Linked DNA regions of Drosophila melanogaster. The protein of the gene in region 2 interacts with the protein of the main gene of each other region in a pairwise test. Each region holds a gene or a part of one and is shown on either strand. Other genes may lie near its edges.

Evidence for each region.
Region 1: the proteins of tgy (region 2) and Acadvl interact in a two-hybrid assay, tested with the Drosophila melanogaster proteins (one large-scale study listed by BioGRID).

Annotation. Positions count from the first base shown.
Region 1 is NT_033778.4:19,301,602-19,307,945, reverse strand, and holds Acadvl (Acyl-CoA dehydrogenase very long chain), read right to left. Parts: upstream 2,775-6,344; 5' UTR 2,723-2,774; coding exon 839-2,722; 3' UTR 501-838; downstream 1-500. Other genes in the region: Tab2 (TAK1-associated binding protein 2), read right to left, coding at 4,313-5,004, 5,068-5,271.
Region 2 is NC_004354.4:19,122,287-19,130,639, reverse strand, and holds tgy (twiggy), read left to right. Parts: upstream 1-3,323; 5' UTR 3,324-3,335; coding exon 3,336-3,880; intron 3,881-4,176; coding exon 4,177-4,285; intron 4,286-4,352; coding exon 4,353-4,634; intron 4,635-4,995; coding exon 4,996-5,181; 3' UTR 5,182-5,637; downstream 5,638-8,353. Other genes in the region: CG15882 (uncharacterized protein), read left to right, coding at 6,364-6,840.

The DNA of each region.
Region 1 (6,344 bases), on a different chromosome or scaffold from region 2:
CATATCTAAAGAGAAAGTGCTGTTTTATTAAGCTTCTCTACACTCGAAAAAGTATTATATATGTGTTATGTTTGTCAATATCTTAGTTAACAAGCGAAATTCTCTGTGCTTTACTATATATCCTATAATTATAAACGTAAGTATGAAATTGTTAATCCTATTATCTATATATTCAGCGAAGGCGTTTCCAATTATTATCTAATATATTTGCTGCAATTATTATGTTACCAAATTTTTCGTGCAATTTTTGAAAGTCAATTAAAAGAATATTGCTTGTTACATTTAAGGCAAAACTTTGAAACACCAAGGCGCTTGATAGCTAAAAAATAACAGATAAATATTGTTGAAAACGTACAATACAATAATTAAAAAGTAAACAACGATGATTTTTAGGTTTTCAGCAAACAAACAATGTTGTAATATGAAAAGCGAATTTTTAAACACCAACTATTATACTACATAATTACAAATATATGATCAAAATTAAAACAACAAAACCAAATTAAGTTCGATTTATTTTGTATTTCATTAGATTGCCCGTCCAGCTTTGAAAATCAGATCGAGATGGTAAGTGCTTTAAATTATATTTGTGAGCTTTTCTACGTAAAAGGAATAGAGGTGATTTGATTTCAAGAGTTCTATTATCTGAGTTCATTTATAGATGATCAAGTATTTGTTACTCATTTGTTCAATGATAGTGCATAATCACTTTAGAGAGATTTCGTATGTGAGAGCGAGGTGAACTTTAGACTTCAGCGATTATTATTTACAAGACTTTATTGGCATTCATACTAGGTTAACAATCAAGGGCTTAAAATTCGTATAAAAGTATATTGGTCTAGTTTTGATCCAAGATTCCAGTCGTAGTCACACCGCCATTTTCCAAAGTGGTCTTGGCGATGGTGGAAATCTTCTCATTGAGAGACCTATGATGACTGGATGTGGCAGCCTGTAGATTCTTAATCACTCGATCAGATGCCTGAATAGTGAGTGCCTTGGTCATGTTGAGCTCGTGTTGTGCAGTTGGCAGATTCAGATTGACTGCACGGGATGATCGCGATTGCGTCACAACCATTGCATAAATATCAATGGCTGCATTTGCCAGTCGTGTTAGCAAAATTTGTTCGTTAACTATGTTTTTGTTGTATCGCAGCAATAGTTCTTCCACCGATTGTCCAAAAAGATCAATACAATGGGCCGTTTTTTTGGCATAAGGCAAGAGTTCACCCACTACGTGGCCACTCAGATCGGTGCCGCCCAAGCCGACAGTGGAGGCCGCCCGCCTGGAGGCCTCTTTGAAAATCAGTCCCAAATTGGCCGAGGGATTCTTGAATGCGCGCTGCAGTTCCTTAAGGTGGGATCCCGCATATTGAATGCCAGTCAGGGCAATGAACAGCCGGAGAATGTCATTGGTGCCCTCGAATATGCGGAAAATGCGCAGGTCACGCAGGACTCGTTCCAATCCATTATCCACCATGTATCCCATGCCGCCCAGAATTTGTATAGCCTCGTCGCAAACATACCACGCGCTCTCCGAAGCATAGATCTTCGAGATGGCGGCTTCCAAGTGATAGTCCTTGCTGCCGGCATCCATGTTTTGTGAAATAGTAAACGCCATCGACTCCGTGGCGTACTGCAGAATGTTCATCTGAGCCAATTTCTCTTGGATGGATCCATAGTTCTTTAGTTTTTGACCAAACTGAACTCGATTGTTGGCATGCTCGGTGGCCTGTTCGATGCATTTCTTCATTGTTCCCGATAGCGTGGCGCCCATTCCAAACCGACCGTTGTTCAATATGTTCATGGCAACCTTGAATCCATCACCTTCCTTGCCGAGCACATTTTCAATTGGAATCTTTACATCTTCGAAATACACTTCGGCCGTGTTCGATGCCTTGATGCCCATTTTCTTCTCCGGTGGTCCATTGGTTACACCTCCGAAGGATCGTTCCACAATGAAGGCAGTGACCTTGTCCTTCTTCTCGCCAGTCTTCGGGTCCACCTGCTCGGTCTGTGCGAAAACGGTCATAATTTCGGCAATTCCGCCATTGGAAATCCAGATTTTTGAGCCATTAAGGACGTAGTGCTTTCCATCGGCACTCTTCACGGCACGGCATCGAATGGAACCCGCATCAGATCCGGAGCTGGGTTCCGTAAGGGCAAAGGCAGCGTACACCTGCTCGGCGGCCACCTTGGGCAGGTACTTCTCCTTCTGCTCGGGGGTGCCGTACAGCAGTATTCCCTTGAAGCCAATACTCTGATGGGCGCCAATCGTGATGCCCAGTCCCAGATCGTTGACACCCACAATGGCGCACAGCCTGCCGTACTGGGTATTGTTCAGACCGAGGCCACCGAATTCAGATGGCACTTGGATTCCGAAGGCCCCGAGCTCCCACAGAGCCGTCGAAGTGGTGTCATCTATTTTAGAGTTGGCATCGTTGCGGGCAGCGTCATTGACATCGGAGAAGAAACGCTCGAACGGATCTATCAGGCTGTTGGTCAGCTCCTTCTGCTCCGCGGTCAGGACATCCGGATACGGGAACACTTGGCTTGACACCAGTGATCCACGGAAGATGTTGGCCATAAAGGACTCATTCTCACTTGCCTTTTCCTTGCTGCGATTGCTTTCCGCCCCCAGTTTGGGACTGTGCGTCGCTATTTGCCTGCAAAGCGAGGCGTTTCCTGCCAGGTACCTGGTACTTTGGATCGTGTGCCTCCACATAGTTTCGAAATTGTTTGGTAAATCGCCCTTTGGACCGAGAGTCTGCAGTGTGCCCACATTCCCGATCACCCACGACGACGTCATCACCGCGACTTGCGCAGTCCAAATCTGGTATATTTCCTCAGAGCACCGAGTACCGGAGTATTCATCGTTTGGCATATTAAATTCAGTTGGTTTCCAAATCACTTAAAGAGTTTTTTAAATTTCGAAAAGTTTCTGGGGGAGTGTTTTTAGTCGTATTACTTGTTTTATATAACTGTTACTGCTTTTGAGAATTTTTGTATTGTATAGAACTTATCCAAAAATCGTTTAGCATCTTCAATTCTCTTTGTTTTCAAATCTCTGGAAGCGTTTTTAGAAATACAAAATGTATTTGAACCTAACTTAAATCTCGATCTGGATGTGGAAGAGAAGCATTTTGAACCAGATATTATAAATCTGATCCATCTGATGAAGAAGATTAAAGAAATGGTTTTGGAGTAATATTATTATCAATCCTGCTGTATATTGCAAATAGTTAATAATTTACCGCTGTTGATAAATACTAACTGCCCCCAACTCCAAATTAAAACACAAATGACGCTCTTAAACTGCAGTTTAATGTCGATAAATATGCGGCTTTTGAAAAGCTTACAAAAGTTCCCTTGTCGGTTGACCTTTTCTTTCTAAATCCTAACTCATTTCTGTTCAGTTAAATAAATATTTACAAAATGTACACGGTTTTCCATTACAATTAATAATATCTAGTTTCAGTTGATGCGACGTTGCTTAAAGTCTTTTCTTATCTAGTATCGATAATAAATTAATTGCTGCCAGCAGCATTTTTGCTAAATAGAATAGTTCCTCAAATCTTTTTACAATTCCTTAGGATAAGTTACCGTAGACTAAAGCGAAATTCAGTTGCAGAATTCAGATATGTATCTCTGGAGCTGGAGCTGTCTATGTTCTCATGGTGAGCGTTTGGCCGACTGTCATGATAGAATCCAGGAGTGTATAATACCTGCACATCGAAGATGATCAATTAATCCAGTTGGGCAATTATTTATTTATCTACTTACGATTTTCGCCCGGCGATAGCGTTATATGTATGTCCTCACGGCTCAGAACAGGGGCTAAAAGTAAACATTTGGCCAAAGCCCAGACACATGTATTTTTGCTTTTTACCAATAAAACGTGTAAAGCAACAACTTGCGAAGCTTGTGTAAATATTTAAATAACGTTCTTTATTTACTTTTGAGCGGGCTAAAAATAATAAACTCTGTTTCTCGTTGGCTTAATGCTAGTTTAACGGTTAGAGGATATTGTTAAATTAAACGGCCTGAGGCTGAGGCGATTGCATTTAATGTACATACATAAATCGAATATGTTAAAATAATTTAAAAAGGCCGCGCTTAAGCAATTCGTTTCCGTTCGCTGTTGTTTTCGTTTCGCACATGTCTTTCAGGTGGAGCCATGCAGTGGATAATGAACCTGCCGCCTACTAGTTTAAATGCTATCACAGTTTCAAAGTCGAGCATGCAAGAACAACAGTCAGGAGCTAGCTCATGCACGATAAGAGAACTTTGTTATCGTTTGGTGCAGCTTTTTGGGTTATGTATGCAGAGCGTACGGCTGCTGGGACGGCTGCTGTTGCTGCTCAATGCTGCCGGGTGGCGTGGCAGCAGCAGCAGCGGCCCCGCCTCCACTGGGAACAATGCGTATCATACCCGGCTGGATCCTAACGTTCTCACAGGCCTCACAAATATTTAGCTGTGGATGGTTGCGGAATGTACACATGTTGCAGGCCCACGAGTCCAGCGTCTCCTCCTCCTCATCCACATCGGAGTCGGACAGGAATTCTTCCTCCTGTTGTGGCTGCGGCTGCTGTTGCTGCTGCATCTGGTGTTGTAGCTGCTGTTGCTGCTGCATCTGCTGTTGTAACTGCTGCTGTCGCTGCTGCTGCAGATATTGCTGGAACTGATAGTACTGGGCGTACGTCGGTGGCGGCTCCTGCTGCAGCTGTAACAGTTGCTGTTGACTCTGCATCTGGGGCGTTAAACAGGCCGAGGTGGGAGCACTGCTGTGGTGCTGCCCAAAGTCCTGCACCGGCTGGGAGATGGGTGCTGCCGGCACCGAGTGCAGACGTAGTGAACTGGGCGGCGCCTGGACGCGAGCACTTTGACGCTGACGCGGGAATGGCTGTGGCTGTTGCTGCGGCTGCTGCTGTGAAGCATTGCTGGCTGGTAACAGGTGCTGGCGGTTCGTGGGATTGGCCGCCGGACCAGGGCCATTCGCCTGCGGTTCTGTGGATATAAGAGGGGCAGAGTCAGCATAGAAAAACCGATATACTTTGCAATCATCCTTACCATTTAAGCAGTCAAGCAGCCGATTACAGTCCTCAGTCAGTTGCTTGATATCTCTATCCAGTCTTTCAGATTCCCCCACCGGCACCGGCTCAGTCAGGATGTTGATCTCCTGCTCCAGGACGAGCAGGCGCTTCTTGTTGTCCCTCAGTGCATTGGCCAGCTTGTCGCGACGCTGCTTCTGACGCTCGATAGTGGCGGCACGAGCTGAAGTAGATAGAGAGAAGAAAAGCTGATCAATCGATTTGCTGACTGTGGAATGTGTAGCTCCGTTGGCCTGGCAACAAATGATTGCCTTGCGGCATTTCGAATTTCCAAATATTCCTCCCCGCGGCTAGATTTATTTTTCTGTCTAACGCCTCCCATTTTATTACTCTGTTTTGTTGCTAAAAATATTTACCCCACCAAACGCCTGTCTGCCGCAGAGTGAAAGGGGTTCATAAACAGAATTTATATTTAAATAGATAAATTTAGTTAAAATGCGCAAGCAAGCACAACCAAAAATCAATCTAATAATAATTTATTCCTACGAAAAAAAAGGTAAAAATAAATGAATACAAAAAACACACAGACAAAGTCTTTCGATGCATTTTGTGTTTGGCTTTGGGCGACTGTTCATGTGAATATTTTTAGACGCTTGATAGATTTCCAACGGAAATAGCCAACAGGGCAGTGGGCCAAGGGATCTCTGAATATGTCACATCATTATGTGCGATTCGCTGGCATCTTAATTGATAAATTATTTCGTTAATGGCTCTAGCTTTTCTAAATTCCAATTTGTGTTCTATACACCGATGGAAAATTCTCCAACAATATGAACGACATTTAAAGTGGTTTCTCGTGATAGCGTCGCGTGATTAAATGTCAAAGTGTAAGTGCCTTTTGGGCCCACGCTGCGTATGCTTAATACCTTAGCTAATCAAACGGAGAGATTTTCCTGTTCGCTTTCTTCTCTTTTTCTTTGTTTCTTCTCTGGTTTTACCAACCACCCACACGAATCGCCCTGAACTTGAACGACTTGCGGCGAAAACAAATTGAAAACGTCGCAGAAAGAGCGGCAAAAGCAACAGACGTATAAATAATGTGAAAAGTGAGATGGATGGGGGGTACGAAATCGGGAAAAACATGGCCAAAGCCAGAAGCCAGACAAAAAACAAAAGACAGCATTTTTAAACTCGTGGGCGGTCGATATGGTTAATGTTTTAAACGAAATATAATTAATTAATAATATAAATCGTGTACAATATGCTTGTTTATCTATCGCTTTCTTCTACAACGCT
Region 2 (8,353 bases):
TGCATAACACTTCCACTGATGGATATTGCACAATGTTTAGCTATGGAAAGCGCATTTCAAATCTGCCTAACAATATGAGCCACCCTACTTCCTTACGTGTGTTTTGGATGGACCGTTGTCATATCAGTGAGCTAAAAGTAACCGCACGGTGCTCACAAGTATGCAATGGCATTGGCCTCCCCCCTGCAGCGAAGGACTTCGGGAGGGTGGAGGACCAGCTCCCGGATCCAGGGAAATTCGCAGATCGCAGGTCCCAAGTCCCGGCCACCGGATCCGAGCCCCAGTTCCATGTGCATTGGCATTGGCGGCGCCCGTCAGCGTTTTCATTTCAAATTCAAATGCTGTTTGCATAAAAAACGAGCCAAGACATCGAAAGGCATCACGTGCCCAGGAGTCGGTTCCTCCTCGCTCCATCCCAGTGGAATGTGGGGCCAAAAAACAAAAAAAAACTGCTGGAATTCAGTAGTGACAATAGCAACAAACGGATGCCGACAGCGATATATGAACGAGCAGTGGATGCACAAGAAAAAAATCATTTTAAAAATTATTATATGGAATTATATTGAGTGAATGGTATTTAATATATTCGATTCGTTTTTTATGAGAAAGTATGTTTTCAGGAACTAATCTATCTATACATATAAATATATTATGCTATGAAATAAGGTTTAACATGATTTTATGATATTTGTCTAAAGTAGTAATATTTACTTAAAAACTATTTGAGCAGTTGGCAAAAGGATTTATTAAATTCTCCAGCAAACAATATGAATAATAATAGTGCTTATTAGTTCTTATTTATTCAGTTAAGTTTCAAAATAGTACAAAATATGAGTGTGGTTCGCAGAGCCATCCAATTGAGTGGGTTAAGTGGGTGGAGTGCAGCACTGGTGTCGTTGGCCTCCAAATCCAACAAAAAAAAAAAATCGAATCGAAATAGCGAAAGACGTTTCACTGTGGCGGAAGTGAGATGAGTTGAGGTTCAGAGCGGGATGGCTGGAGGACAGCCAGCTGCCGGTCGTTTTGCATGTCCGTGTTGGGTTAAGTGGATTGTTTACTTTGATTACAAAAATATGGCAAATGTTTGCACGTTTGATGTCTCACTGCGTGTGTGTGTGTGTGTGTGTGTGTGTGTTCGTCGGTGTGCTTACGTGTGCATGTGTGTGGCGCAGACACATGCATTGGTTGGTAGTGGTGGTGGTGGGAGTGAGAGAGAGAATGAGCGATCTTGATTATATAGAATCTTAGATTGATTTCACAAAATATCCTATCTTATCAATCATTTTTCATGCATTTTTCTTAAGTTTGACTTTTTTCAAAAATGTGCTCAGTTCAGTTGTGTTTGAATACTTCAATTTATTCAAGATGAATCTTTTCACGCGGTCATCTCCATGGCAAACAATGCACACACACACACTCATATTTACATACAGAACGAAAGAAAGAGATGGAAAGGAGCGAATGAGACGGGGAGAAGTACATTCAGGCAGCGAGACAAATGGCGTTTGCCTTGGCGCGCTTGTAAAATCCGAAAGCTAACATTATTACAAAAAATCTGCAGTTATACATTTGACTTTGGTTTATTTTTGTGATTTGCCCAGTTTGCAGTTGACCAACCAACCGACCGACCATCGCAGGACTGCCTGTTTGGCTGAGTTTTTATTGTATTGAGGCTGCGGGAACCAGATGGAAAGGAACTGTTGATTGTGGGGCCAGTGTCGGCCGAAAAGATGGGATTGAAAGGGGGGGGGGGGGAGAGTTAGGAAATGGGATAGGTCAGGAGAGAGGAGACAGGATCCAGCTTCTTTTGTCCTTTAAATTGAATTGCCACCGAAGTTGCAGGGCAAAATAGTTGAACCGACATTAAACAATGGAAGAACGCGTTAAGTGGTTCTTACATACATACATTTAAAGTAAATTGTACCGGGAAAGTAATGGAGTCTCCTCCGCTGGCCAACGCCCATGGTCGGGCGGACCCACAGCCCATGTGGGTCACGTCATCGGAAAGGTCAAAGGCATTTATCAGGCCCACTTGGCACCCACTCCTATTTGCATTTCATGTTGAACTGTTTGCCCAGGCCAAAACTAATTTTGACATTCGAAGAGAAAAAAATGCGCGAGCAAAGCCGCCGCTTTTATTGGAAAAATTTGTATTTGTTTGGGCAATGGGCAATGGTAGAAATGGTAGCTGGTTTCTGCTTGCTGGTGGCAAATCGCAGCGGGGTCACACGCCCACAATGCCAAATAGTTTTCATTCTTAGCCGCTACTCCTCACCGCCGCTGGCTGCATTTTATTTTATTAATGGGAATTTGTTTGCCAGCGCAGGCGGATTGGATGGTTACGGGGCGCGGGGTGTAGGATGCGTCCAGGATGCGACCAGGATGCGACCAGGATGCCGCCTCGTCGCTATTATGGCAGCCATTTGTTTGCACGCGAGCATCCGAGTGCCGGAGCGTCGGAGTGCTGGAGTGCCCCACAGGGCGTATGCGCTATATTATTTTTCCCGCACTGCTGGCGGTCCTTGCCAGTGTGCCACGCCCACGCCTTAGTCCCCCCCCATCTTGGCAACGCCACTGAAAAGCGTCCAGCAACGACCACATGTCGCTCATGATTAATTGAAAGATTCTCTCAACTTCAACTGTTTTCGGGTTTTGCGTTCACCCAACCCCCCCCCTTTTAGAACTCACTTTTTTATTATTTCTATATTTTTCCTTTCGAGGTGCTTGTTGCTCTGTGTGCTTGTCCCAAGTGTTTTGATTAATGAACTATGCTGAGTGAAATTTAAACAAATTTCTTAGTACAATCCAAGCTGGCAAGCAATTAGTTTGGACCACTAAAGTTTTTAGAGTTTTTAAATAGATAGTGGCTTTTGGTACCTCTCTAAGCAGCTTAACTGTTACTCAATAATATATCAATATAATATTTATGATTGTGGATCAGGAAATACGCGCAATTAATTACATTAATTGTTTATTTATTTTTGTCTACTGTTTGCCACATGTACGAGTATATGTTTTTTTTTTTTAAATAAGGATTTCCATTCACCTAGAAACCATATCAATTAGTGTATTGCTATTTCCGCAGCTCTGGTGCAACTTTCACTCACTCATTTTAACTCTGTTCTGTGCATGTTACTCCCTCTCCCTCCCTCTCTCTCTCTCTCTCTCTTTCAACCTAGTAATAAGACTAATTGAGCGCACCTGCTCGTCGATGTTCCCGACATAAGTATTAGTTCTGCCAGCCACCTTGTCTAATCTGGGCCGCATTTTCCCGGCGATAAGACCATTTTCGATTGGTATAGACAGTGCTTACGATGCCGCAAGTCAGTGTTTCAATGGCCGGGGAATATATCATACTGGAGAACTCGTCGACTTATCCGGGCTTCCATTCCAGTTCCAACGGATTGGCGAATGGCATGTACCGCTCCGCCCAGCGCATCTCCACCGATCGCCTGGTCCTGCTCATTCTGCTGGTGAGCACCACGGTGATCGGGCTGTTTGCCTACTGGGATGTAATGGTGCTCAACGCCGGCGCACTGCCACTGTCCAGAGGCACTAGCTCTGTTGATTACATGGAGCCTGGACTGCGCAACGAAACCCTGGCCGAGAAGATGCATCGGGAGGTGAGAGTCCTGTGCTGGGTGCTCACCACACCCAAATACCACAAGACCCGGGCCATTCACGTTTTGCGAACGTGGGGCAAACGCTGCAATAAGATCTACTTCATGACCTCTGAGCCGGATGACGAGCTGCCCACCGTTGTGCTGACCAAGCCGGACCGATACGAGATGCTGTGGGGCAAGACCAAAGAGGCCTTTGTCCACATCCACGAGCAGATGCGCCACGAGGCGGATTGGTTCATAAAGGCGGACGACGACACGTATGTGAAAGATTCAGATTCTTAAATAGGGAAAGAGTGGCATTTTATTGCAGGAATTGATAAGTGAATGGATGGTTGTTTTCGTCACCACAGATACACGTACATATGTATATATGTATGTATGTATTTATTGAACATTATTATCATTCTGTTTTACCTTTGTGGTGTAACTACTGATGGTATCTCAATGTTAGGGCCACAGCCAAAACAGTTGAATGAAGAATAATTAGGAACCGATAAAGAAAAGATAGCATTATTAAAGTTTGACTGAACTTTCAATCTGCTCCTATCAATAGCTACCTCTTTTTGGAAAATCTGCGCTACATGCTCTACCCGTATTCACCGGAGACACCTATTTATTTTGGATTTAATTACAAGATGGTCGGCACTCACCAGAAGAACGAGGTGAGTTTATCTTCTGTCCGGTTCGGATTACATTACAAACTCACTGAATATGAATCCGATTCAATAGTCATACATGTCCGGCGGCAGTGGCTACGTACTGAGCCGCGAGGCTCTTAGGATCTTCGCCGAGGGCGTCAACGACACCACCAAGTGTCGCCAGGAGGACGATCACGCCGAGGACGTCGAGATGGGCAAGTGCCTGTTCAACCTGGGCGTGAAGGCGGGTGATTCCAGGGACGAGCAGCTGCGCAACCGCTTCTATCCCATAGCTCCTTATGGAGCCCTTCTCTCGGGCAACGTTGGCATGGACTTTTGGTTGTACAAGTACGCCTACTACAATCCGAGATCGGTGAGTTTGGATGCATTTAGCACCCTACTAAAAGTACGTTTGTATGTATGTAGATATATGAATGAATGCACAGCTTACCCATCCAGTACCTTTTAACAATCCAGCAAAATAGAAAATAAACTCAAGTGTCACAAAGACAACGCCATATTTTGCCAAGCACTCATATTATTTAGTCGAACGTAATCATCATTCTTCGTTACCAGAAAGGTGGTGGTAAGGTGCGTTCGTCACTGGCTTATAACCGCGTGAGGAGGCATTTTATCTTTGATATTCAAGCCTCAACGTATAGTTTTTCCACCTTCGTATTCGCATTCCTTGTCCTCTTTTGATTATTATCTAAACTATCTTCGTATTCTTGCAGTGCATGGACTGCCTGTCGGAGTACCCGGTGGCCTTTCACTATGTGCACAGCAAGCAGCTGTACGTGTACGACTACTTCAACTACCAGTTCCAGCTCTCCGGAAGGGCGCAGGTGGCGGAACGGCTGCCCAAGAAGATCCGGGAGGAGGAGCTGGTCATCCCCGAGAGCGACAATCCGGTGTCCTAGGCAGGAGCCAGCCATTCTGCCACTTCAGCAGCAGCAATCTCAAGTCCATATCTACATATTTTCCATCCTTTTTTTTTTGTGTGTGCTTATCGTGTATTTAATATATTATGGGCACAAGGCGAACGTGCCAAGGCTGCCAGATGCTGTCCTGTTGCGACTCCTTGTCCTTGCCCGATCCACGTCCTAGTTTATCTATTCATGTATTTATTATTGAGCAGCTCGTGGCAGACGGGCCACACGAAGGCATTAAAAGGATAATGGAGGGCTACTGGGTGGACATTTACTCTTGATTTCCAATGAGGATTTCAAAAAGTTGCATATCTAGAAAAATGAATTAGTCGCAACTATAATGGTATGGCTGCACTATTAACATTGTAAGTGTACGTACGAAATGACTGCAATCTCTGATCTGTTGAATGGTACAAATTAGAGTTGCCAGCTTGAACTTTGTTATGCCATAATAATCTTAAACTCTATAAATGATTGGCTTTACAACATATGTACGCAAGGAAAATAAACAGTTTTCTTTAGAAGCCTAAGGCGTATGAAATGGTTATACTTCTTGTACAGTTTTCAACAATCTACAATGAGTAAATGAAATAATAATGGCCACGTGGCGTTGAGTGGCTTAACTTACCGCAACTTGTTTCAAACCCTGGTAACACCTTTTAACGTCATTGTGCAACACTAGTACTAGAAATCGAAAAGCAAGTACATATTTGTTACTTTAAGGCAAATGATCAAAAGAGTGATTTTACTACTGCTGACATTAAATATGTGGATTATTATATAAAACACTCGATTCGAAAAATCGAATTACTTAACTTTTAATACTGGAAATAAAAATGATCATAGAGCATATTATTTATAACAGAATGTGTATAGTTTTTTTTAAATTATTTTAGCATTGTATTGAGTACAGTCAAGTGTTCTTTGCAAAAGCTCTGTTCCTATTCGAATTTTTTTTTACACATGCGGGCACACTAATTGGTATTTAAGTATGCCCAGACTTTTAGATCCAGTTAATCAGCTATTCGTTGAATGATTCTCACTTTATCCTTTACTTTCTACACGATTCAAGTGAGCTATTGCGAAATAAATTAAAAAACCAACTTTTCAATCTTCTGGGAATATTGAATACTGAGGAAAACCCTAAATTGATTGCTGCCGAAACCCAGAAGGATGGAGAACATGAACAAAGAACTCGCGAATATGGAGAAACTATCTTTGAAGGAGCTGCTCAGTGAGGACACACTCTCTGAATTGGCTACCCCGAATGATGTCGACATTGCCGGCGAGGAAAAGAACCTCGAGGGTCAATCTGTTTCGAAGGAAGATCCACCGCCTGCGGCAGTTGTACCCAAAGCGACCAAAGCGCCCAATAATCCCGAAGCGCTAACCCAAAAGCAGAGTATGGACTATGCGGCACGGATCGTGAAGGTCATCAACCTACAGATGCAAAATGTGGTGCATAAAACGTTCATGATGATGCAATCACCACTCCCTCTCCGGAACAGGCTACCAGTGGTCGTGTCCACCATGATCCGCTCCCGTAGGGCACCCAAGTTGAAGCTCAAAGATGTGAGGAGAGTGATCACGGGCCTGGCGCTGCATCGTGCACACCTGGTCTACGAATATATTATCAACCACCCCGAATAAGAAAACTTCTACATATGTTAACTTAATACAATAATTAAAAAATCCAAACACTCGCCGGCTCTAGTTTAGTTTAAAGTTCTATAGAACAAGGTTCATCGCACGCATACTACAATATATTACTGATGAATATTCAGCTAGTTTTGAACGTATTTGAAATATATTCGGCTCAAATTAGGCCTAAAGCTGATGCTTTTCAATTTATTAACTGAGGAGCCACTTCAGTTCAGTGGGTCACTATTACAATTATTCATTGGCTTATCCCTATAAGTCCACTTCAGAGCACTTAAGTCTCATTCTCGCAGGCAGCTAATTAAGGTCATCGCTCCCTGCGGCTCACCCCAAAAAATTTGGGTGAAACACTGGCATTCCAATAGTTCACATTCCCTGGGCTAATTAGGAAATTAGACTACCTACCGGCCGACATTTTGTGTTTCTTTGGAAAAGTCGGTAGAGTCGCGTCAAATGCGAATCGCATACGAATGGCAGTGGAATCAGAATGGAAATGCGAATTTTGCCTAAAATGCCGAGAAAAAATTGGACTAAAACACTTGCCGTAATGCGTGGTGTGCATTTTCCAAGGCAATCTGGCGAGTGGGGGCGGTGCTCCACATTGCTTTACCCGGCGACCCAGACAATTTCCGCTCGTAAAAGTGGTCCTCCGCCTGGTCTTGCCATTTTGGCCAGTGGCTGGGTGGCCAGTGGTTGGTGGCTCCTGGCCACTGTAATTAATACCAAAATAATTGTATTTGGATAACACAAACGTAATCAAGATTAATTGAGTAACAGCAGGTAGTTTGCATAATTAGAGCGCAGACAGTGGACTCCCCGCCGCCGATTCAATGCTCCTCCTTCTCCTACCCCTTGGCACCCTGTTCCTCCCATAAGCATAATTTGCAATTTCAACTGTCTGCCAACGCCTCCTATTTCCCGACTCCCCTCGCCGATGCCTGTCCACCTGCCACGCCCCTTCCCCGCTGGCTGCCCTTCGGCAGGCTGTCTGTCTCGCTTGTGGCTCTTTGGTTGGCAGGATCGGGTCCTGGACCTGCGGCATCCACCATCTCCTCTTCCCACGCAGTGGCTGGGAGGTACGGGAGCCCACCGGTTTAACTTTGAAATCGGACGCATTTTGGCGACCCACTAGGTTTATGGTTTAAGGTTCGAATCAGTCGGAGGATGTGTTCAATGGGAAAGTACCTAAAAATTACAAGTTAGTTGCCAAAATGAATGTAGATTTATAGAGTTATACTTAAGAAATAATAAACTTAAGTAGTTAACTATTTCAGGCTAAGAGTTTTTGTACTGAAGAGTGGAACGTTGTTAAAAGGAGTCCATTTGTTATTTTTCTCCATTTTATGTATGTCCTTCCTTCCCGTTACTCGTCCAGTAAAAGGGTATACTAGATTCATTGAAACGTTTGTAACAGGCAAATAAAGTATATATATATATTCTTGATCAAGATCAATAGCTGAGTCGATCTAGCCATCTAGTCCGCCTGTCCGTATAAACTTCGAGA